Linked DNA regions of Neodiprion lecontei. The protein of the gene in region 2 purifies or fractionates together with the protein of the main gene of each other region. This does not show direct contact. Links are inferred from orthologs where the notes say so. Each region holds a gene or a part of one and is shown on either strand. Other genes may lie near its edges. The genes, in order: GRB2-associated-binding protein 2, 14-3-3 protein epsilon, bifunctional purine biosynthesis protein ATIC and actin-binding LIM protein 2.

Evidence for each region.
Region 1: the proteins of 14-3-3 protein epsilon (region 2) and GRB2-associated-binding protein 2 purify together in Homo sapiens (affinity purification with mass spectrometry; 4 studies listed by BioGRID and IntAct, with this or other methods). This does not show direct contact. The link is inferred for Neodiprion lecontei from reciprocal best matches to the Homo sapiens genes YWHAE and GAB2.
Region 3: the proteins of 14-3-3 protein epsilon (region 2) and bifunctional purine biosynthesis protein ATIC fractionate together in Homo sapiens (co-fractionation; 3 studies listed by BioGRID). This does not show direct contact. The link is inferred for Neodiprion lecontei from reciprocal best matches to the Homo sapiens genes YWHAE and ATIC.
Region 4: the proteins of 14-3-3 protein epsilon (region 2) and actin-binding LIM protein 2 purify together in Homo sapiens (affinity purification with mass spectrometry; 3 studies listed by BioGRID and IntAct, with this or other methods). This does not show direct contact. The link is inferred for Neodiprion lecontei from reciprocal best matches to the Homo sapiens genes YWHAE and ABLIM1.

What each region holds. Positions count from the first base shown.
Region 1 is NC_060265.1:9,032,947-9,037,673, forward strand, and holds the start of GRB2-associated-binding protein 2, read left to right. Parts: upstream 1-1,721; 5' UTR 1,722-1,960; coding exon 1,961-2,041; intron 2,042-3,339; coding exon 3,340-3,468; intron 3,469-3,591; coding exon 3,592-3,778; intron 3,779-4,005; coding exon 4,006-4,290; intron 4,291-4,727. Other genes in the region: uncharacterized protein LOC124294987, read right to left, coding at 165-851. UniProt on the Homo sapiens protein: Adapter protein which acts downstream of several membrane receptors including cytokine, antigen, hormone, cell matrix and growth factor receptors to regulate multiple signaling pathways.
Region 2 is NC_060262.1:34,812,831-34,820,498, reverse strand, and holds 14-3-3 protein epsilon, read right to left. Parts: upstream 6,029-7,668; 5' UTR 5,900-6,028; coding exon 5,836-5,899; intron 2,892-5,835; coding exon 2,585-2,891; intron 2,501-2,584; coding exon 2,157-2,500; intron 2,031-2,156; coding exon 1,960-2,030; 3' UTR 1,922-1,959; intron 1,720-1,921; coding exon of another isoform or gene 1,664-1,719; 3' UTR 22-1,663; downstream 1-21. UniProt on the Homo sapiens protein: Adapter protein implicated in the regulation of a large spectrum of both general and specialized signaling pathways. Binds to a large number of partners, usually by recognition of a phosphoserine or phosphothreonine motif.
Region 3 is NC_060262.1:25,615,777-25,621,548, forward strand, and holds bifunctional purine biosynthesis protein ATIC, read right to left. Parts: upstream 4,115-5,772; 5' UTR 3,965-4,114; coding exon 3,949-3,964; intron 3,552-3,948; coding exon 3,348-3,551; intron 2,988-3,347; coding exon 2,699-2,987; intron 2,406-2,698; coding exon 1,914-2,405; intron 1,792-1,913; coding exon 1,402-1,791; intron 1,285-1,401; coding exon 1,020-1,284; intron 921-1,019; coding exon 801-920; 3' UTR 512-800; downstream 1-511. Other genes in the region: 3-hydroxyisobutyryl-CoA hydrolase, mitochondrial, read left to right, coding at 4,526-4,531, 5,117-5,207. UniProt on the Homo sapiens protein: Bifunctional enzyme that catalyzes the last two steps of purine biosynthesis.
Region 4 is NC_060260.1:13,824,430-13,829,109, reverse strand, and holds the start of actin-binding LIM protein 2, read right to left. Parts: upstream 3,045-4,680; 5' UTR 3,042-3,044; coding exon 2,903-3,041; intron 1-2,902. UniProt on the Homo sapiens protein: May act as scaffold protein. May play a role in the development of the retina. Has been suggested to play a role in axon guidance.

The DNA.
Region 1 (4,727 bases), on a different chromosome or scaffold from region 2:
TAAGAGAAGACTCAGATCGTTTTCAGAATCTGTTTTAGGTAATTAACGGTATACATTCGCAAACCTTCTCTACCAATTTTTATAGTTTCGGGTAGATATACTTTGACAACTTTTGATATTTGTGTTAAACACACAGTCATCATGCCATCGGTATCATCTATTTCCTAGTCTAATCCAATTGGTCGAGGAACTGCTTTCCTCTTTCTTTTGGCCATTGCAACTTCTTCGCTGTTTTGGTGTTCTTCTACGATTTGACTTGTTTCTCCGTGTTCATCATCAGCTTTGAGCTCATCTTTTAGAATAGATTGCTCTTGTGCTTTAGTATCATCATCTGAACTTACACTCATATCTGATACTGCACTAAAATCAGTAGTTAACTCTTCTATCCTAGGATCTGACTTTGCCATAATGATGGCTTCGAACAAATCTTTTAAATCATCAAAGACTTGTTTGGCTCCATCCGTTGATATGCCTTCTGCCCATCCGATTATCGTAGACTTTGACACTCGTTTTGCATGAAAATCTTTGTGAGTCATAATCATCTTAAGCTTGTCTTCATAGTTAGTAGCAGCTTGTCTAAGTGATATACAACATTCACATGTATATTCACGCATAGTGTCAGACATTGTGATCCACATAGCTAAGATTAAGGATATCCATATTTGCAAATCCATCATGAATCTTTTGGTGTCGTATTCACCAGATTCATCATCCCTGTAGTGTATTGGATGTGGACATGCTGCATGGAACAGAGTTCTCACTGCTTGAATGCTCATGCGATATCTTATCTCTTGCTGGTTTATTGCTCTTCTTCTCTTTGATCTAGTAAGGATTTTAGTTTCAGTCTGCATTCTGTATCTATATATTCGGTCATCGAAAATTTCTTATATGATCCATTATATTTTGGTGCATATCTGGGTAACTAAACCCCCGAAGAAAGGGGCGTGTCGTAGGAGTTCTAGGCACACCATGGGTGTATTCCGAAATATACTCGCAGTACTGCAAGTACTGGCAACTGAACGCTGTTGATCACGTGATCGAAGCACTGAGAGCACCTTACCTTGAAAGCACCAGTGTTCACAGTAGAAAAATGGCGACGATTTATGACGTCATATATTTCCCTAGGATACTGCGACTGCATACAGTCAGTCTATATCGGAACGAATTTCTCCCCAGTAAGAGCACTGAACAGTGCTCGCAGTGTATATTGGAACATACCCTTCGTGTTTTCAGTGTGTTGGCAAGTATTGAGCAAAGATCCAATCCTCTTTGGTCTGGTTTTTCATGGGCAACAAAATGCTGCCGCAGTGTTTTACTGCCTAGTTCGTGGCCAATAGGAATGTCAAGAAAATAGATATTTCACATTCAGCGCATACTAAGTGGCGCTAGTATCAACACATCGACTCATTGCTCATCGAGTTTTAATCATCTTCAAAAGGTAAGATAATTTTCATTAATTAATACAAGGATAATCCTATTCCCGGTTTGTTCGAAAAGCGGGATTGAGCATCCACTGTCTAGTGCATTCCAATGCTAGTTGGTATTTGGTCACCCAGAACTACTGATTGTGTCTAGCTGTGCCATCACGATTAGATCCAGTGTCTAGCTTCTGGAATCGTTGGGGACAGCAGTTGCGACGTCACACTCATGATTAAAAATCACCCTATGACTTCAATAGCAGATGTTTCAGTCCTCTTCATGCCATTGCTTTATACGTTCTTTATACTATGTCTTTTAGACGTTCGTGGATCAAACTTCCTGTAGTGACGAACGAAGTGAGATAACCTTATCTTACAAACTAACTTTGGTTGTGTGTCGAGATTACGATGCTCGTTGGTGAGCTACTTGCCTGTGTATCGACCAAAAATAGATAAATGGACCGAATACGTGCGTGTTAGTCGCTCGGTCTTCTCAATGATGTGTCATTAATCGTTACGACTCGTTAAGAAGTGTGTAGGGCATGGATACGCTCAAAACAAGCCAAGAAATCGTCCACGAAGGCTGGCTTATAAAATCGCCACCCTCAAAATTGTGGAAAGCGGTAAGGTTTCCTCTAAAATCTAATCGAAGATGACTCTTTCCATTGTTTACGTTAACCAGGGCTTCTATCATCCGACAATTAATCATTCCCATTTAACGCTCGGATAACCCCTGTTTTAATTGAATGGGATTCATACATCGTCAAGCCCCACTCTTGATCGGGACACTTCGAACCGTTTTAAATGGGTTAACATTTTTCCTAACAATATAACCGTCAGTCTAACCTAGGAAGTGAAAGATATCCTTTCCACCTCATACCTGGATACTCGTGAGACCCCAAAAGAATTTGTAGTCTTGTCTTTCCCAATTCAATTCTGAATCAATCTTTTTATTCGCTTGGGTTTTTCCTAATAATCATTGATTGTTTGCTCAACTGTGGAAATTGGCTCAACGCCACCACGGACAGCTAGTCAGGTATCTGTGTGTTGCACATACTTCAGATCTCGGTTTATCCTACTTAAATTTATGACGTATTCCTAATAATCATTGTTTGTTGTCAATTTACTTTAATCTTAGTCGTCTTTGTCATATTTGCTGAGCTACTGTTTCCAGTATTTTTACAGGCAACTATTCCAAATGTAAACTTATTTAGAGCATCTAATCAAAGCCTCAAAGTGATTATACATAATTATCAGTATTCTTTGACATCTCAGTTAGCATACTTAATTTTATTCTTATTTATGTGTAATCTTATTTATGTGTATGTGGTATAGAATCACTTGTCATAATATGTAGATAGCATTGTTGATGAATAATTTGTGTAATTTGGTAGAAGCACATAAAAATAATGTTACTTTAGGCAAATCTAATAATATTTGACTGTTTCCATTCATTCGTATGTAATCTTCCTTACATCTTTTTTGAATTATGATATTTTTCCCTCATAATGAATACATTTCAACTCTTACTTTTCTGATTTATTCACTAGGGTTCAATATCTTAGTTTTCATTGACACACAGCTCTGTGAATTATGCTGCAACGAAAACGAATCTCCTTGAAACTGATTCTAACGTAACTAACTAGTCAGCATCTGTTGCAACCAGAAAAAACCTGTTTCATCAGTACTGTCCAATTATTTGAATTCCAACAGAAAGTAATGTTCCACGAAAGTTATCAATGATAGATCTAGATATTGGACTGTTTTAAATCAATTTGGTGTTATTATGCTACATATGCACCTCATTTTGTCAAGTAGTTATTGTTGTCTGCCACACCCAATTTGTTTTTCGTAACAACATTGAAGCAGAACATTCAACAAATTCTTACCGTGTATCGTACCTCGAAACTGATTGCTCTAGAGATGGCGAAAGCGTTGGTTTGCGCTCCGTCACAGCGGAGAATTGCCTGGACAATATTTCTTGGAATATTACACAGACAGACGTTGCAGAAAGCTCAAGGGCCGCATAGATTTGGATCAATGCGAGCAGGTAATTATTTTTATTTCCAAAAATTCTAAAAACGTCATTAAAGTTAGTTTTTGCCAAAAATTACAAGTTATTTGCCATTTAAGAATGAGAATAATCGTTGATTAATCAACTACAAATGTGCAGGTGGATGCTGGCTTGAGATTTGAAAATCGAAAGCAGAAATATCAGTTCATGTTCGACGTGAAGACTCCGAAAAGAACTTACTACCTGGTGGCAGAGAGCGAAGCTGACATGAACAAGTGGGTTGATGCAGTTTGCCAGGTTTGCGGTTTGAAAGCTTACACACAGGATGATGAGCCGCACTGTCAAAGTAAGTCTGAAAATAAGTATCTATATCTAAAACTACTTGTTAAATTAACAATTCTGTTACAAATTGTCTGTTTATTAAATATTAATTGAATTTGAAAATGCAGATCTTTGTTTACGAAAGACATTTTTTGGTTCTTTGGTATTTTTGCTGTGTAGACGAATATACTTTTAACACATTCCAGTGACGCAAAGTAAAGTTGTCTATGTTTCAATTTTTCTCTTCAACAGTATTTCCATTCGAGCCTCAAGAGTCGCCTCCGATCTCACCAACCAGTACTATATCTGGACCCTACATTCCAATCAGTGAATGCATTTCTGGCCGCTCCTTGAACGACACAAGCTCTCTTAGTTCTGCCCTGGGACAGAATACAGAACAATATTATGATGCCCCAAGAAAGTTGGCTCCCTCTCCACCCAGATCTCCGACTACAACTGATGCAGAAAGTGTATTTACTGACGATGAATGGACTTCTCCAGTTCCTAGTGTTAATTGGGAGACATTTCCTTCGTCTCGTAAGTAAAAAATTGTAATTAAAGCCGCAGTTGACCTTAATTGATCAGCTTTAACTCACGGATATTGCTTTCAAAATTTAAGTGTATTTGCAATGATTTGTGAGGAAAGAAGATGCTGTCTCCTTTGAATTAGATTTTGTTTTTAGAAAATCAATCCATGTGTTGATTCCTTCGTAAAGGCTCATTTAATTGATTTGAGCTTTTTAGTAATATGTTACATAATATTGACATCGACTCAACTATGATTGTACAAATTAAATTTATTATCTGATGTTCCTAGAATTTCAACTATGAGAAACTCATTCTTCCGAATGTTTTTGGTTGGAAATTTACTTTATTTATTATTTGCATTCATATTAACTTTTACTGTCATTTTTTGAAATTTCTATTTGGACCACTTTCTTTTTACACCGTTTTTGATCCACCATTTGCCTATT
Region 2 (7,668 bases):
TTCAATGAACAAGCCACAAAATAGACAGTAATAATGACTTTATTTTCAGTTTTCATGTGTGGCTTTACAGGAAAAGTCGTAATTGGTGTATTGTATTAATTTCCTAATACAGAGTGAACGCATGCGAATTCCAAAATATGATTTACTGGTTCTAAGTGTTTATCGAATTGCGTGTGTGTGTTGCCTACATTGTCAGCATTGGCATTTGTCTTATTTTCACGTTATTTTTTTAAATGTCTTGTTTTTAGATTCAATAATTAAATACCCCGTGGTATTTTCATAATTTTACAGTATATAACGTTTCACTATTGCAAAAGTTAATCTTAATTACTTCAATCGGCTCCTTGTACAATTAAAATTATTATTAATATACTTACTTATGGTATTATCAATATTATTTAATGTTATTCTTTGTAATATATTTATAATATAATTAAGAATTAATATTACTGCTATAATACTTAAATGTAGGGGCACGCCACACACCAATTTCCACAAATTGTTTCTCTTTCAATTTTATTTTATTGTTTCTTTTAAGCATGCCCGGTGTCCGTCTTGCAAGCGTACGCTTAATTCAAACTCTTACAGATTTTACGTAAGTAAAAGTATATGAGGAACAAGAGATATTGTGGTACTCTCCATGACATTTTATGATCAACGAATGCAATACAATGAAAAGTTCACCATCAGATGTTTCATGCAGGATTACCAGACATCAGCTTCTTCACAGAAATACCTGATATTTACGTAAAATCTCCAGAAAAAGTATTAAGCTACGTGGATAAGACGAAGAGAAAGAACGAAAAAAAAAGGGATGCGAATAAAAAGAGAGCTATTAGTTTCTCAATTTACGAATTGATTTTGAAGATTCACAAATTGATAAGTTTGATTATTAATTTACGTTGATGTACATGAATATAGGTGATGATGGATAAAATAATTTATTTCAATGCGCCACATAGATACACGTAATGTTATGATTATAAAAAAAAAGAAGGAAAAATGAAAAATTTTGCATTAGTAGCAAAGTGTTCGTATTTTTAATGTCTCAGCACGTATCAATAGCATAAGAATGTTTGTAAAAAAAAAAATGGTAATAACAATTTTTTTTCTTACACGGAGTAAATGTTAATGTTTATGTTTTTTTCTAACCTCTTCTCATGATCCACGTTAATGATAGTTCAACTACATTTTTTTAAAAGATTACATAATTATTGATTATCAATTAGGGTCTCGGCGCATTGGCATTCAAGAATTTGGATCCAAGCGTACGCAATGTAGAAAACTACATATAGCAAATTGGTCCCCAGGACAACAGTGTAAGCTACACTCAGCCAGGAACTAATATTGCAACAGGCAGCGGATTTTCACTTTGTTAAATGCTTGTAATCTCACTAATACGCAGGATGCGTCTCTTATACTTTTTCTGCGTGCTCCATAACTCAACAACATGTGATTGGATGATTTTGGAGTGAACGCATGTGTGTTTTACCACACGTACGACCACATGATAGCTAAAGAGCTTCCCTCCCCACCCTGAACTCCCACCCGCTGTATGTTTTTTTGTTTTTTTTTGTTTTTTTTTTTTTTTGCTTAAGAATTATTAACAGTTTTTTTTCTTTCTTTCATTTGTATGCGCGAATGACACTCACTGCAACTTAAGTTACGACACGTCCTGGTCTTCCACATCATGCAGCTGCTCTTTCTGGTCGCCTTCGCCTATTACAAAAAGTAGCTCAATTTTATCTTTGAAAACTTAAGTAGTAATACAAGAAAATACAAATTTTTTATCAATGATAATTTTACCTAAAAACTACAGAGAAAATTATCCTATTGAAAATCTCATAATTTGATTGTTCGATTCAATTAACAGGTGTTCTTGGTTTAAATTGACCTTGATCAGCAAGGAGATATTTCTAACCTGATGATGGTATAAGGAGGGGGAGTTGGACAGTGTTCTTAAGGATGGGAATCACTTGTAATGGGTATAGCACCATCTCCTTGAACAGTTGGCTGCTCTACTTCAGATTCTAGATATGAAATTGAAAATGCCCCATCTAAGACTAATTCTTTTTATATTGTTCACGAATTTTCAAGATTTAGAATATCATTTCATAAACCCTTATTGAGTCAATAGAACAATAACTATGACTTACCGTCCGCCTGCATATCCGAGGTCCATAAGGTGAGGTTGTCCCTGAGGAGTTGCATAATGAGAGTTGAGTCCTTGTAGCTCTCTTCTGAAAGGGTGTCCAATTCAGCAATAGCATCGTCAAAGGCAGCCTTTGCAAGGCGACACGCTCTATCGGGACTGTTCAAAATCTCATAGTAAAACACGGAAAAGTTAAGAGCCAGTCCAAGGCGAATAGGATGAGTAGGTGGTAATTCTGTCATTGCGATGTCGCTCGCCGCCTTGTATGCAACCAGTGAGTTCTCGGCCGCCTCCTTCCTGTCATTACCAATTGCAAATTCTGCAAGGTAACGGTGGTAATCACCCTTCCTGTAACCGAATCAATGTTTCTCAGTAAAAATGTCATATGGAAAATGAGATAATGATAAAACAGAATAAATTTACAGTCCTTACATTTTGTAATAGAAGACTTTAGACTCGCCGGTTGACGCGCAGGGGATAAGATGTTTGTCCAAGACACCGAGTATGTCGGCACAAATGTCTCTGAGTTCTTTTTCAACTTGCGAACGATATTGGCGAATCATCTCCAATTTTTCCTCAGCCCCTTTGTTCTCTTCTTTTTGCTCGATACTAGAGATTATCCGCCATGAGGCTCTTCTCGCACCAATCACATTTTTGTACGCGACGGACAACAAGTTCCTCTCTTCGACGGTAAGCTCCACATTGAGGGATGCTACCTTTTTCATCGCCTCGACCATCTCTGCAATACAAATATTATGACTAAAGTTCAAACGTTTGTCAAATTTATGACACATGATACAATTAACTAACATTGGATTACAAATGCCAGGATGCAGTTTTGCTTTACGGAACATCTTTCTCAAGACAAGAGCAATAATTTTTTCACACACTTCTGTTTTTAGCTGATGAAAGATGTGTAAAAACGAAAATGAAGACTTGATGAAGAGGACAAACAAAGTTTATTTATCTCGTGTTTTCTTATTTTTATCTAAGTCAAGAACTTATTAGGTGTCACTAAGGGGTCAAAAATAGTAAGTTAATTGGTAGCTATTACTGTCAAAATTAGAATTTTTTCAGAGCTAACGAATAAAAAAAATCACTTACAAAGTTACATGCATATAAATAAAATTCTGAGGTATTTCTGATTCATAAATCATTCATAGATTTCAGAGTACCATGTCAGTGATTCCGTGATTTTCGGAAATACTGGGAGTTTCTGAGGTAATTGTCAAATTTTTTGATCCAGAGTTTGCAATCTACACCATTTTATTCACTATTTCATTATTTACGTAGAATCACTGTGATATAATTTTTGAACTCCAGTTGCTCCAGCTGGCATTTCATTAAATAACATATAAACCAGAGGTCCAGTACTTGGTTTGTAAATCATGTATTGAATAATTCGAATTTCTTGATAAAAACTTCTCTACTTTATGTAAAAGAATTGCAAGAAAAAATTAGCAAAAGGAAATAAAGCATTGTTTCACCTTTCTTAACAAGAAAATTCCTGCAACAATTCGAAATGCCTATAATACAACAGCAAAATTCGTCTCAATGTCCTTTAAAATTATTCTGTTAAAAAGATCAAAATCAAGATCCGTTTTCTCAAAATTGTTAGGTCATTGGAGATGACACGTACAAATATGCGTATAAAGCATATTTTACTGGGAAATTTAAAGTGTCATATAAGATTTTTAAAAGTTATCCTTAAAAGTAAAGACGAAAGTGGAAAATTAGACATCTTAAAATCTAATATGTGTTGACATCTTAAACGAAGAAAAATGAAACTTGACACTATAGCAATGTAACAACTACGATTAATGTAAAAGTTTTACAGCTGTTTCTTAAAGCCAAATAACGGAACAGAATAGCAACCCTTTGCCTTTAAATGAAGTTTAAAGTCTCTTGCAGCGAATGAGAAACGGTAGCAAATGGACCTGCAGATAAGTCCTTGAGAGTTCTCCAACCAAAGTAGCAATTTGAAAAATGGAAATATTATCGTTATGCAACGAGAACTTAACGAGGATTAAAAAAAGGTGAGACTCCTTCAAGCAATCATTACGATAAATCAATATTAAAATTGTGTAAGCTAATCAGCTGTAATTAAATGCACATATAAAACAATCAAAACGAATAATTCTCTAAAATGCATAAAATACATGATTGATGTAGCATAGTAATTCCTTTTATTCAATGAATTGATAAGACCAGAGAGTTAACACGAATAAAGTACATGGGCTAGAGAGTGTACAGGGACACAGGATAGCAGGCACAGATCAATACTTTCCTTCAGCTACGACCTCCCTTGCTTCACTCATCCCCTTGCCTGGTTCTCCCTCTGCCTGCTTGCTCTTACTACCCTCAAAATTAAACCCTCCACTGATACCCTTTTTGACTGAGATCTTCTTGATAAATATTTTATCTATTCAAATATTTGCCTAGTCATTAATAGGTTCATGCTGTGATTGGCATCCAATCAAGATTAGATTAATAATTTTACCTAAAAATAATGTACTTATATATTTTTTCCAAAATCACAGCACGTATATTTGTGAAGAAGATTAGTGATATCATGAAATATCGTTTGGATCTGAATGAAGATCTAAGTGATTTGCCATCACAGATAAACTGTTGCAACATTTTAATGGGTTTTAGCTCCGTAGTAGGGCGGATTTTCAATTATCTCTTCTGTTCGTTCACGGAGCTCTTAACAGATAATATACAGCTCATGAGGTAATGCATGTTCCTGTCAAACAGTGAGTACCAGCCTACTACATAGCATGTATTTGCCGGAGTAATCAAAGAAGACGACATTGCGTATACGCAATTGTTCTCAATTGTAAAAGAAATCGGGAAAAGTTGATGGTAGTGTTTTTTTCGTCGTTCCTTTTCAAGAATTCGTAAAACGGGACTTGTTCTTATTGTACTGTTACTTAAAACGCAATGATGTAAATTGAAACAGCGATATCGCGTGTAAACGACTGCGCGAAGATGTAGAGCGTAATTTTTGAAGGCACCACAGACGGGAGGGGGGAAAAGTCCCCAAGCGAATAGCCATACTTTACTTTGGACGGGAATAAAGAAATGATGGAACTCTATAGGACGAGACGCGACATGGGGACAAGGTTGAAAAAAAGAACCAATGAAGAAGAAGATAATCCCGATAAGTTTGAGGGATTTTATGCCTAGACACGAGTTGATAGATACGTGCGGTTAAAAGCTTTGCCTTCCCATGTCTATGCGTCACTCGAAATGCGGTTATCGCACGTTCGATTACACGCCTAGCAACGTTGTCCCGAGTCACTCGGCATGGATTATGATTAACGAGGCATAACCACGACGAACTCTAGAATTATTCATTGCTGTAATTAAAGTGCCGATCAAGAGTAGAGAAACGCGTAGGAAGCAAAAGGGAGGGTCACCTCGAGGGACCGGCATTGCGCGCGGTAGGCGAATTTGTCAGTTCTGACGTTTGAAGTTAGATTTTGACAGTTCTTTGGAAATAAGTGGCAAAAAAAAGTGTGCAAATACATGAGAGGACGCCCATCGTCTGTCAAGTATAACAACCGGAAAAATTGACCACGGAATAATTAGCTGTGGAAAGGTTTTTTCGTGAGGTCATCGACGAATTTCACCGAATTTCTGTTGGAAGCCGAAAGATTTCGTTAAAAATAACGACTCACCGTCATAGCGTTCTGCCTGCTCGGCCAGTTTTGCCTTGTAGACATTGTCCTCCCGCTCCGACATCCTGGATGCTAGCGGATTTCACGGGGTCGCTGAAAGGATTCGAGAATTCGCACTAGATACGTATCACCGAAAAACGGACACCTCCTCGGACGGCTGCTTACAAGCTCACTGACCAAGATGGCGGCGCCCGCCAACAATCGAAAGCAGTCCCATTGGCGTAGGTTCGAAGACTCATTGTGATTCGGCCGTGGAATGTATTACTACGCGTGACGTCACGTTAGTGCCGTATGACGATGAGTAGGTCCGCTTTCCAGGTAAATCCGCCGCTTTAAAATAACTTCAATCCCCCATCCACGATAAAGATTAGTGAATTTTTCTGCAATGATACGCACCGGTTTAATACGAATGCGAATTTAACACTTGTAATTAGTAATATTATTACGAACTGTCCGTCAGAAAGCGAATGCTGATTTTCACAAATAGCCAACAGAGTGATTTGAAATGTTAAAGCCCGGCGGGCTGTAAGGAAGTTTAAAAATACACATGAAAAAATACGCGTGTATTTTTACGTATGTATAAATGTATACCTGTATACTAATTTATACATCGCGCACGATGCGCATATAATAAAATTAGTTTTTATTGACGATAGGAAAACATTATTTATAAAAAAATGTCAAGAGACTAGAGTGGGGAATGCGGGTGTTGGTATGAACCTGTGATCAAGGATATTCAATAATCTTGTCATGGAATAAAAACTTCATATAGCGAAGCAGTTGTATTTTTTCTTCTTCAACGAATGCCTACTATACAAGCTCTAATATCCAAATATTTTCGCTATCCAGATTATCGTTATATTTTTTTATTTATTTATGTTTTTAATATTATTTATTTAATAATTATTTTGTATTTATATGTATACAGATAATGTATCATCTTTTCAATAATTATCAACAGTTAAAATTAGATTACAGCCTGGGAATAATCGTACGGATTTAACATAACAGTACAACATACTGCAAGTAGAAATCTGTAGTTGTGAAAATTTGAAGATGAATCACCCATTGATCTATCAAGGTGTCAGCTAGTGATCGACAAATGGCAATCTCATCGAGCTTCAATTTCCTCAAACCCTCACGATATGAATCATTCAAATGTTCATTTTTGGACATTCATTGGAGAGGAATTTGTAGTTAAAAGCTGGTGGGCAATGTCATCCGACTTTGAAGTACAGTCGTTGGTGCTTAATTCTTTGATTGATATACATAAATGTAAGAGATGTTGAAATTTTCGTTTCTGAGCCTAGATAATCTCGAGGATAATCTGCGATTTGAAAATTTATCATGTCTAATTGTAAGTGTGATGACACTATTGAAATAACAGTGGATCGTAAACAAGTTGAAAGCGGACAAATGAATTCCGTACAGTCTGTACTTTCAATTCATCCGATACTGATACAAATCAAGTTCAAATTATGTAATCTTAATGAAAACAGTCCAACACTATTATGTAATTCCAGCAGGGAATAGGGATACACAATAAGTTCATTTCAATAATAATAATAATGGTGATAATAAAGTAATAATATTAAATAACAAATGTAAATCTGGGACAGGAAAAATTCGTAATAATATTGTATACAAAGCCTAGTTGCTTCCCTAATTAAATATTTTGGAAGCTCACACGCCACCTTTATTTTTATTTCAATTTATTAAATTATATCATATTTGTTTCTGTACTATGTATTAGTTGTGCAGCATGGGAATTTTAAGCATCCTCTTTTCTTTAAAATTTCAGCCTGCAAGACGTTGCCAAGTAAAGAGTACCGC
Region 3 (5,772 bases), about 9.2 Mb from region 2:
GTTTCAACTTTATGTTGGATATGGTTGGATACGAAGTTTGAAGTTTTAAGACAGTAGAATCTGAATTCCGAACGCATTTTCTCAACGCTAAAATCGATTTTTGTTTTCATCGTTTAACAATGATGGTTGAATTTCTGTGAGGTTTATTTGTATGAAAATATGATTTCCGTTCAGCTCACATGGAATAAATTCGACAGACTAAGCTACTGATCATGAGACAAGAGAACAGTTTTGCCTATTTTCCCATTAAATCAATTCATAATGGAACATGGGAGATAATGGAACACTATTGAAAACCGAATGATCCGAATTTAGCCAACATTGAAAATGAATCATTGGTTCTGAATGAAGCGGTTTTATAACATTTCAAAACTGGGGCATATAACCAACTACCCTAATATTCTGTTAGGTGTAGAATTATAACGTGAAAATTTAAATCTTACGTACAGCTTAAAGTATCTTTCAATATTGTGTAATTGTACAGAAGTGAAGAAATAATGTACGTATAAAATTAGGTTATTTAGAAAAAGCAATATATTGAACATCTTTAGAAATACAAGTCTTGTTGAAAAATACCAAGGAGCCTAAAATCATTAAATTTATATATCATACGTATAACATAATATGGCAAAATTTGTATAAAACTACCAAATTAATAGTGATAACAGTAATGCATAAAAATACATTTATCTAGGAATAACAGGAATATTCGAAATACTCAGATCGATAACATACACTACATATCACCCAAATCCAGCAACTTTCCCTAAGTGGGGATATACCGAATTGGACTAAACAATTCAATGGTGGAATAGACGAAGTTTGGTGTGTGCCATAGTGATTTTGTGATCGTCACAAGCCTTAATCACAACTTCATCATTGGTGGAACCAGCTGGACTAGCAATGTATCGAACACCGCTCTGTAATAAAACAAATTTAGCAATAAAAATAGTTCGTTACAATACGGTAACGATTAGAAATGAAAGCAGATAACTGAGAATTTTCAATTCTCTACTAACCAATCTGGCTCGGTCAACGTTATCCCTGAAAGGAAAGAAGGCATCGCTACTAAGAGCAACACCATCCAATTTTTTAGCCCAATCTGATCGTTCCTTTTCAGTGAACTGTTCTGGAACCACTGCGTAAACAGCAGCCCAACTTTCTCGGTCCATATCTTTTCCAATTGATCCATTTACGTAGTTATCTATGGCGTTTGAAATTTCTGCCCTTTTTATCCCCTTTTTAAATTTCATTCCCGTAACCTTAGGGTGCTGACGAAGCCACCTTAAAATGAAATGTTTTCAACTTAAAAGTCAACAAATGCAAATTTCTTTTTGTGGGAAGGTTAACTAAGGTCGTTTCAGTTCACTGCGACATACCCAATGTAAATCAACAACTTACCAGTTATCAGCCTTGTCACCCGCGAGTCTTGTGCAATGTATTCTAGATTGCTGTCCAGCGCCAATACCAATTATCTGTCCGTCTCGTGCATAGCATACAGAATTACTTTGAGTGTATTTGAGAGCTATGGTTGCTACAATCAAATCTCGGATGGCTCCTTCTGGTAAATCTTTTTGCTGTGTTACGATGTTGGTAAATAGATTTTTGTCAATGATCGCATCGTTACGCTTCTGTTCCATGGTAAGACCATAGAGAATTTTGCGTTCCACAGGAGCTGGTGTGTAGTCTGGATCTATTTGTAGAACACAGTAGCCGCCATTTTTTTTTTTTTTCAACAGTTCAAGTGCTTCTGGTGTATAACCAGGAGCAATAATGCCATCAGATACTTCGCTGCAATGGAAAATAATGATTAAATAACCTGGAACTGAATTTCACTTAGAAATTCCAATTAAGATTGAAATTCTACATTGAAATCTGATCATGAAAACTATGTGAATACTGCTAATTCTTACCGTGAAATAATCCTGGCAGTAATGACATCACAAGGGTCTGACAAGGCAACAAAATCTCCAAAGCTAGACATTCTATCCGCTCCTCTAGCTCTAGCATACGCACAAGCTAGCGGAGTCAATTTATCCAACAAATCTTCGACTTGGCATAATTTTGCTTGGTCGGCATCTAGTGAGACACCGACTGCTGCACCAGCTGGGCTAACATGTTTGAATGAAGTTGCAGCCGGTAAATTGAGCGCAGCTTTAAGTTCTTTGACCAACTGATAACCATTTAAGGCATCGCAAAGATTTATGAATCCGGGTGAACCATTAACAACTGTCAACGGAAGCTTTTCTAGAGTAGTGAAAAGCTGCGCTGGTTTTTGGTGGGGATTCATGCCATAGCGAAGTGTAAGCTGAGATTTTCCTGCACTGTACTCTTTACGGAAGTAATCAGAAATGGTATTATCATACTCAGCTGTGTGAGTGAATGCCTTGAGAGCCAAGGACTGTCTGCAATTTCAAAATAAATATATGTTAGGGTCATGCTATTGGCCCTTAAACAACCTTTAACACCTTTAGCTGGTAAAGTTTCAAGTTAAAAGTGGTAAAACTTAAATAATGAATATCAATGACTGGTAAGACTTGTGCTGTGATCGTTTTTCACGTGATCGACTAATTACTAAGTACAAAAATATAAAATACAGCATAATATAAGCATAAGTCTAGGGCATTCTGAAGTTTAAAGCAAGTAAATAACAACACAATTAAAACCCAATAAGATATAAAAATGAAAGCTTGAATACCTAGTAACAAGAGAAGTATCTCTGTCAGAGGAGCTTTCCAGTTCTTCGATAACCTTATTATAATCAACAGGGTCACAGATAACGGTGACTCTTGCATGATTTTTAGCGGCAGCCCTTAGCAAAGTCACACCACCGATATCAATATTTTCTACAGCATCATCAACAATGACGTCTGGCTTAGTTATGGTCTTCATAAATGGATAAAGATTGCATACTACAATGCTTATCATCTCATAATTTTGCTTTTTCAGATCAGCTTGATCTGAATCACTCAAGCGAGACAAAATACCTATAAATGCATAGTAATAAAATGATAATATTAAAAAGCACATACAAAATTTTCACTGGGTTCAATTTAACCTAAATGATTATATAGCTCTGTTCATTCATGAGATATTGTAATCGGAAAGGCACCATCCTTTGCATGATTCGTACATCTTGGTGTTCGACATTACAATTAAATGATAAAGTGACTATATAGAACATATCAAAGCCAAAGAGATTGGAAAAAACACATAGATTAATGACCATTAAATTCAATGACTATTGGTGAACCATATTGAATTCAGTAACATTCATTCAGGCTAAATTTGTGAATCATTTACCACACATTATCATTGTTAATAATCTAAAGATTATTAAATCGTACCTGCATGAACCGCGGGATGAAGAGTTTTAACTCGTCCGCCAAGCATTTCAGGAGCTCCCGTGATGTCTGATACATCTTTAACTGGTAGGCCAGTGTCTCTCAGAGATTTGGCGGTACCTCCGGATGCGACTAGTACAAAGCCCAAGTCACATAGTTTTTTACCAAAAGGTAATAAGTCCGTCTTATCAGACACACTCAACAAAGCTGCAACAAAATACACAATATTAATAACAGTTTTGTGCCTACGTTTTACCTCAGGCACAATCGCAATAAACGATAATAAACTGATGTGGATGCAAGAAAATAAAAGAAACAACTATCATCATAATTTATCCATATCAATTATTAGTTTGAAGGGGAGGATATCCAGTACATTACCAAATACATAATTACAACAGTGAGTTTGCGGGCTGCGGAATAAAATATATTACATATATTCTAAGTTCGTATCTTCGTAAAGGGAAAATGTATGTGCCGATACAAAGGTAAAGTTAACCCACATCTCGGGAACCGGTGTAAGTTCCACAAAGAATTTTGAGCAATAAGAATGCTGGTAAATATAAATAAAGTTAATTGAAATGTGTAGCAGAATGATTCTCACCAAGCTTTCCACTCATATTTACGGTAGTTAAGGAGCCTTCAGTCTTCGAAAACACAACCGAAATATGCCTGAACGGGCACGAGATTAATTTCAATGGAGTCAGACACGCGTGCCGTATGTATGGTTCGATAGGCAACAAGTGTATGACCCTGAAGCGGATCCCTGCATTTATAGCCTCAATCCCGCCAATTGTTATTTAGCTCGTTCAACCGAGTGCGTCAAAGGACTTATCTCACGGTCTGCGGGGGTCCAGGGTCAAAAGTTATCGGACATTGAAGCGCTGTGCATTTTATAAACATCTCTGGAACAAAAATATATTTGCCAGGCCGGTTATAAGACATTTATTCAAATATGTATTCCATTATGCTGGGAGCGCTCATATTTATAACACGATTATTACGTCATCGTAAATAATGTGCTTTCATACAACCAATAGAATAACATAGCGACCTTTCCGTGTGTCCTTAAATGTATTTAATTAACAGTCAATCATAGAAACATAGAACGTTTCATTTTGAACATTTTGAATCTCGTTGACAACATAAGGTGTACCCGTACTGATCTGTTATAATCGTCGATGTCGGTAAGTTGTCATTCAGTTTTTGCGGCAGGCCAATCCCCGCTTTTTTCAATAGGACAATGGATATCACTGAAAGATATGCTCCAAGTTCATAAAAGAAAAACTTCCGAACTCTCAACATATTCTTCAGTCAACGTCTCAACGCTCTTCACCACGCACGCACCTTGTGCGCACAACGCGGACACGCGTGTCATGCAATCGCGGCCGTGTTGGCAGTAGTACGAGCACAATTACCAATCTCGAAATGAATTTCCAGCGGGAATAATGATTATGCCAATCGTAAATTGGATGGAGCGGTGTTTGTCGAACTGAAATCTTATCGGGAACGCCGAACAAAGAAAAGTTACGTAACTTTGCGAGTATTCCTAAACCAGTTTTACTCCAATTCCATCCATTCCTATAGTAATATTTGGTGAATTCTTGGATAAAGAATTCTGCCTGGAAACAAGTTTTCTATTTACTTATATTCGGAACACAATCGTAGTAGATAAATAGTAAACTGACACAATGGTAATGTTTCGTTGACCTAAAAATCCACCTCACCCGCCAGTCTATTTTAGACAAATACTTATCTTCATTTCATTTTAGATGTCCAACATAACCTTTCGGTTGAGTAAAACTACCGCGATTAGGAGCGCGGGTTGGTTCAACGCAAGGATTATGTCAATTCACAGTTCAGGTATGAATGGATACCGCTGAAATTTTTGCAACAATCATTTCAAGTGTCAAGTGTCATACGGTGGATGAAACTAACTGTTCAACCATTAAGTAATACGAGATTGTCACTTCAAATTATAAGAAATGAGACTCTGCAATCAGGTCATGGAAATATATGTGCAATTATTTTTTGAACAATCCAATTGAATTATTGCGATATTTATTTAAGCAAAACAATCATTGTTACTTATTGCGGGAACACGATAGTTTGAAATTTTCTGATCGTAATTTTTCTTTATTTCAAAGAATCCGAGCTGTTATTACATAAATATGTAATGCAAATTCAATTCAAGGCAGATCTAGAACAATAGGGTGGCTATTGAAGCTCCAATATATGTATAAAATCCATAAATTAAAGAATTTGTTGAGAAACCGCATAAATATAGTGTAATAGTTCACCACATTTAGAACTTCATTCTTTTTTTTTGTAAAACATTAAATCTGAAAGACAAATTTACGGTTGCCTCAAAGCTTTAGAAAACATCAAAACTTTTCCATTCATAGGCAATTCTTATTGCATGATTGTG
Region 4 (4,680 bases), on a different chromosome or scaffold from region 2:
GTCACATTTAGTAAACTACCTTTCGCAAATCAAACTTGGTTTTTTCACAAATTAAAGTTCAAGTAGGAATGACTTTCAAGAAGTTGGTTTTCCAAATTATGAATATATTTTGTTCATTGTGGTCTACTCAGATAATCCTAAAGGTGCGAAGTAACGATATTTCTTAAACAAGCCTTGTTACAGTAAAGTTATTAACTTCAACCTCATAGATTTTTTGGGAACTTGAAAAGTTGGAATTCGGGTATCGCTGTATCCCTTATATGTTATTATTAGCACTGCTGTAGTTTTTCACGATATGTCACGTGCCCGTTTTTATTGTATTTAAGAACTGCTTATTTTGTTGATTTCAACGTTGACTAAGGACGTGTACAGTGAGGTTCTCTATCTGCGGAACGATACATACGCCTTTTTAAGTAACTGGAGTTACAGCTCGCATTTTAGGTTAAGCATCGTATCCGCTGTAGTATCAGCTGAAATGCAACAATCGTATGAGAGTTCAGTGATCGTATACCGTCACAGCCAACCCAAACGTTATCAAAACAAATAATATTCAACATTCTCAAAGCAAATAGTATTTGACGTTTGAGATGACTGGCAAGATACGATGCCAACCCTATTTCGATTTCTTAAATTCGGCACGACCTACAAGCACGTCAACTTCTCAATAGTTTTATATAATAATTCAACAGCTTTGGCATTTGAAACCGAACAACTTTGATCTAAAACTTTTTCGTGAACCACGCTCAGTTTTCAAGATGTCGTCATGACTCGTTTAAAACGGGATACCTTGTATACAGTGGATCCCAAACAAGTAATTTTTGCAATGGGCAAATTACTAGGACAATAAAACTGTATTACAGGCTTTATATCAAAGTTATCCAATATTATCATTAGTTTGAAAATTTCTCTAATTTTCCCAATCTTCCATGTGAATAGAGTTGTCGAATCCGCGGAGTTAAGGAGGTTGTAACGTCAAAATCATGACAACTACGTAAGCGGGCCAGCGTGCGGCGCGGCGAAATAGTGCGAGTGAAACGCGCGGTGACGCGTGAAGGTTCCTTCTAAGAGAGCAAAAGAGGTGCAGAGTCGCTTATACCTCACAGTCTTACTTTAGAATATTTTTCATATATGGCACGATGAAAACTTATGAACACGTTATCTAATTATGAAAAAAAATACAATACATGATCTAATATGTTTTGATATGAATGTCAAATGTTTTTCTCAAGGAGGGGTACGACAATTTCACTTATTTTTTGCAATTTCTATCTAAGCATATGTTTAAGATACGAACTCCGAACCCTATTTTATCAGAAATGAAATAGTAAAAGTATATCAACTTTTAATAGATGACGTATATTTTGCGGATGAATGCCTCTTGTAAATATCAACAACTTATCTCATTTTTTAATTTCCGTTACAACCACCTTGACGTAAAAAAGGTTTCGTATAGAAAATTTTTTCGAATAAATAAAGTATAATGTATCTGGAAAAGATTTAACAAATCAGGTATGTCATGTTATTCTGAACAGCCGCAAGAATTTCAATGCTCGCGTACGCCGTGATCAGGCGTACTGGGCCACATCCGACAAAAAAAGAGAAAACATTCGACATTATAGATATAACACCGTGAAAGTCGACAAGGCAGTCGACGACACTGGGAGAAGAATTTCATGACGATATTGAACAATAAAAATCAGGACTTTGTCGATTTCAAGATCCTGTTCAAGTTCCTATATATTCGCAGAGGATTTCGACATCCGTTGTATTAATTATCGCTGGTGGTTGACACAAATTTTCAAATTATGCAGCAGTAAATTGTCTCCAAAATAAAATTGACGAGTGATTATACAGTGGTTTTACCAATTCTGCGGTTCATGATGTGCTCATAGAATTTGGCACAGAGTGATCTGCCTTTATACTCCGACACGGTGTACTTTCGATATTTTTCATTGTTACGTACTTTTATCGTCTTTTAATTGATCAAATCGCAGATTCATTCATCAACCAATTGACGAACTCTACAAGTGGGGCACAATTGACCTCTGATATTTTTAAAAGTTTCAGTAATACGTAAAATTGCATATACTCGAGTTTCAAGTGGATAATTATCAATGTTTTACCCGTTTTCGGTATTTGCAATAGGCCTTCAATTGTTGGTGCAACAAGTAAGAAGGAGCGAATCGAGAGCAAATATCCATAACTGCGTAAACAATCGAAACCGTACACATATAAGTATCCAGTATATGCATGTATATGCTTGTTGGTATATATATCTATGTATAATGTATTAAGCCTTCTCGCTACAACGGTTTAAAAATACGTGGTGACATCATAATAACACTTAACATGACGTCATATGTTGTAAACGCTGAACTCTTCATCGGACTGGCTAAATTACTGTTTCCGCGCTGCTATTTTCGTTTTCACTCTTTTTTCTCGTTCCTGAACTCATTCCTATATTTTTTAACACATGCGAAATATATGTGACCAAATGCCACTATAATTCTTAATGATATGTTAATACAATTCAGACATGGAGTTAAATAGGATGCTGTCAAGTGGGGTCAAATATAATAACCTAATGCACTTCTGAGGTCGGCTGTAATGTCAGCTTCTAGCAACTGTGTACGATTCTTACATACGTAGCCTCTTATAATTGCATATTAACAAATTTCGTATAATGCTAAATGATCAGTACAAGGACACCTTTACGGCGTTTCGTCATCATACCCAAGGTACTTGAATATTCCGTAACATTACGTACATTTCCACCAAAAAATGGTAATTGTAATACGGAAAAAAAATCATGTCTACGAAGCGTATCGTAAGCTCAGACCTAGTATTAAAACTATGTTGAACATTGCACTGACACACGGATGATAATGGTAGAAATTCTCACGCTTTTTGAAAAGCTTCCTTGTATCCTCGGCACTTTTTGTCTGATTATTATTATTATTATCAGCCACACCTATACCGGGAGAAGATTTTATATTTTTGCTCTCCATCGAGGTAAGCTTTTCGTCCATCTTGGTCTTCATTTGGTATACACACACACACGCACGCTCACACATGCAGACTCACATAAGTGCAACAGGATTATTGCTGAAAATGACATATAAACCTAGGTGAATCGTGTCATGTCATGTCATATATATATATACACACACACGCACCAGGAATAAGAGATTTTATATTTTTGCTATATATATATATACATATATATATATATACATGATTCACGCAGGTTTATATGTTGTTTCCAGCAATAATCCTACGGCAGTTATGTAAGTCCGAAGGTGAGGGACGCACGTATTTCTCGAGGTGCGGCGGCGACTCCACACCTCGTCTGCCTCGGCTCTAACCCGCTAGCGATAAGATAAAGGCGTGAAAAACAATCCAAACGATTAACTGTTATAATTGGTAACTCGAGGTTACCTCAGGATGTACGAAGCTCGCACTACCTAATACCGTTCTTGTGAATGCAGCAAAAATTGCAGACTGAAAATACCCACTTGAATCTTCCTCCTCAATTTCGTGCAATGTCCAATTGCTTCGTAATACAACTAATTTGCTGCAGGATAAACATGGTTGGCCTGCGCACCATCCGTCAGCCCACCCTTCTTCATTCAAAGTCCCAGAATTTCATAACGCGACTTCACAACCGACTTGTTTTACATGACGATACGTTCAGACATAACCGCCATATCGCAAATTACAATGAGACAGAAGTAGTTGAAGTTTGCAGAATATGAGTATTTTTTTCATGATTACAGTGTACCAAATCTCAGGCAATCTGGCAGTTGCGAAACAACGATTTATCGTCCCAAAATATGTATTGTTACACTAACGTAACGTGTAACTCCACGTCACATAGAACTCCAACCTCATCTCATTCGAGGCACTGGATGTATGGACATTTTTCGTTTCGCCATTAGACACGATTGATTGACGGAGACTGCGTATACTTTTTCATACAAGTTTTCGACCTTCGACTATGTTACACCGGGAAGGATTATTTATAGTTCGGCTAACGGTAAAAATCACAAGAGTCTTCGTGATCAGTCGGAAGTAAAAAATTTTGAGATATGCGATGATAAGCAAATTTCTCCTAGTTGTGACATCATTCGTGTTGATTTTACCATTTTCTGATATATCGTAGCATATAACTCCCCCGGACAGGGGATTGCAAATATAACTTTACAAATACATAACGTTACAAATACCACAAATAGACATTCGATGAAAATGTCTGTACGAAAGATGCAATTACAAAAAAATTACATGCAATCATTAGTTTTACAGGTGAAACGTTGAAAAAAAAAATGTAACACGCTATTCTCTTTTGAAATGAAAACAATTTCACATCGAAATCAATCACTATTTGTTCTTAGTTCCATCGACAGTTTGATAGTACTTGCTAATAACGAACTGTATAAAATATCCAGTCGCTATCTGACTCTAAGTAAAGATAAGATTGCAACGTCTTGAATTACAAACTTCTCGGAGCGTAGTGTGTAATAACTTGAATATGAACGAATCGTTACATTCATGTGGTTTTCTCTGTAACCCAGTCATTATGAATAGCGTCCGTTCGGTTCTCGTCCTAAGATGCGAATATAGCGAATTTGATACCATCTGCGTATACCACTAAAAGAACATCTAACTACATCGTGCTGA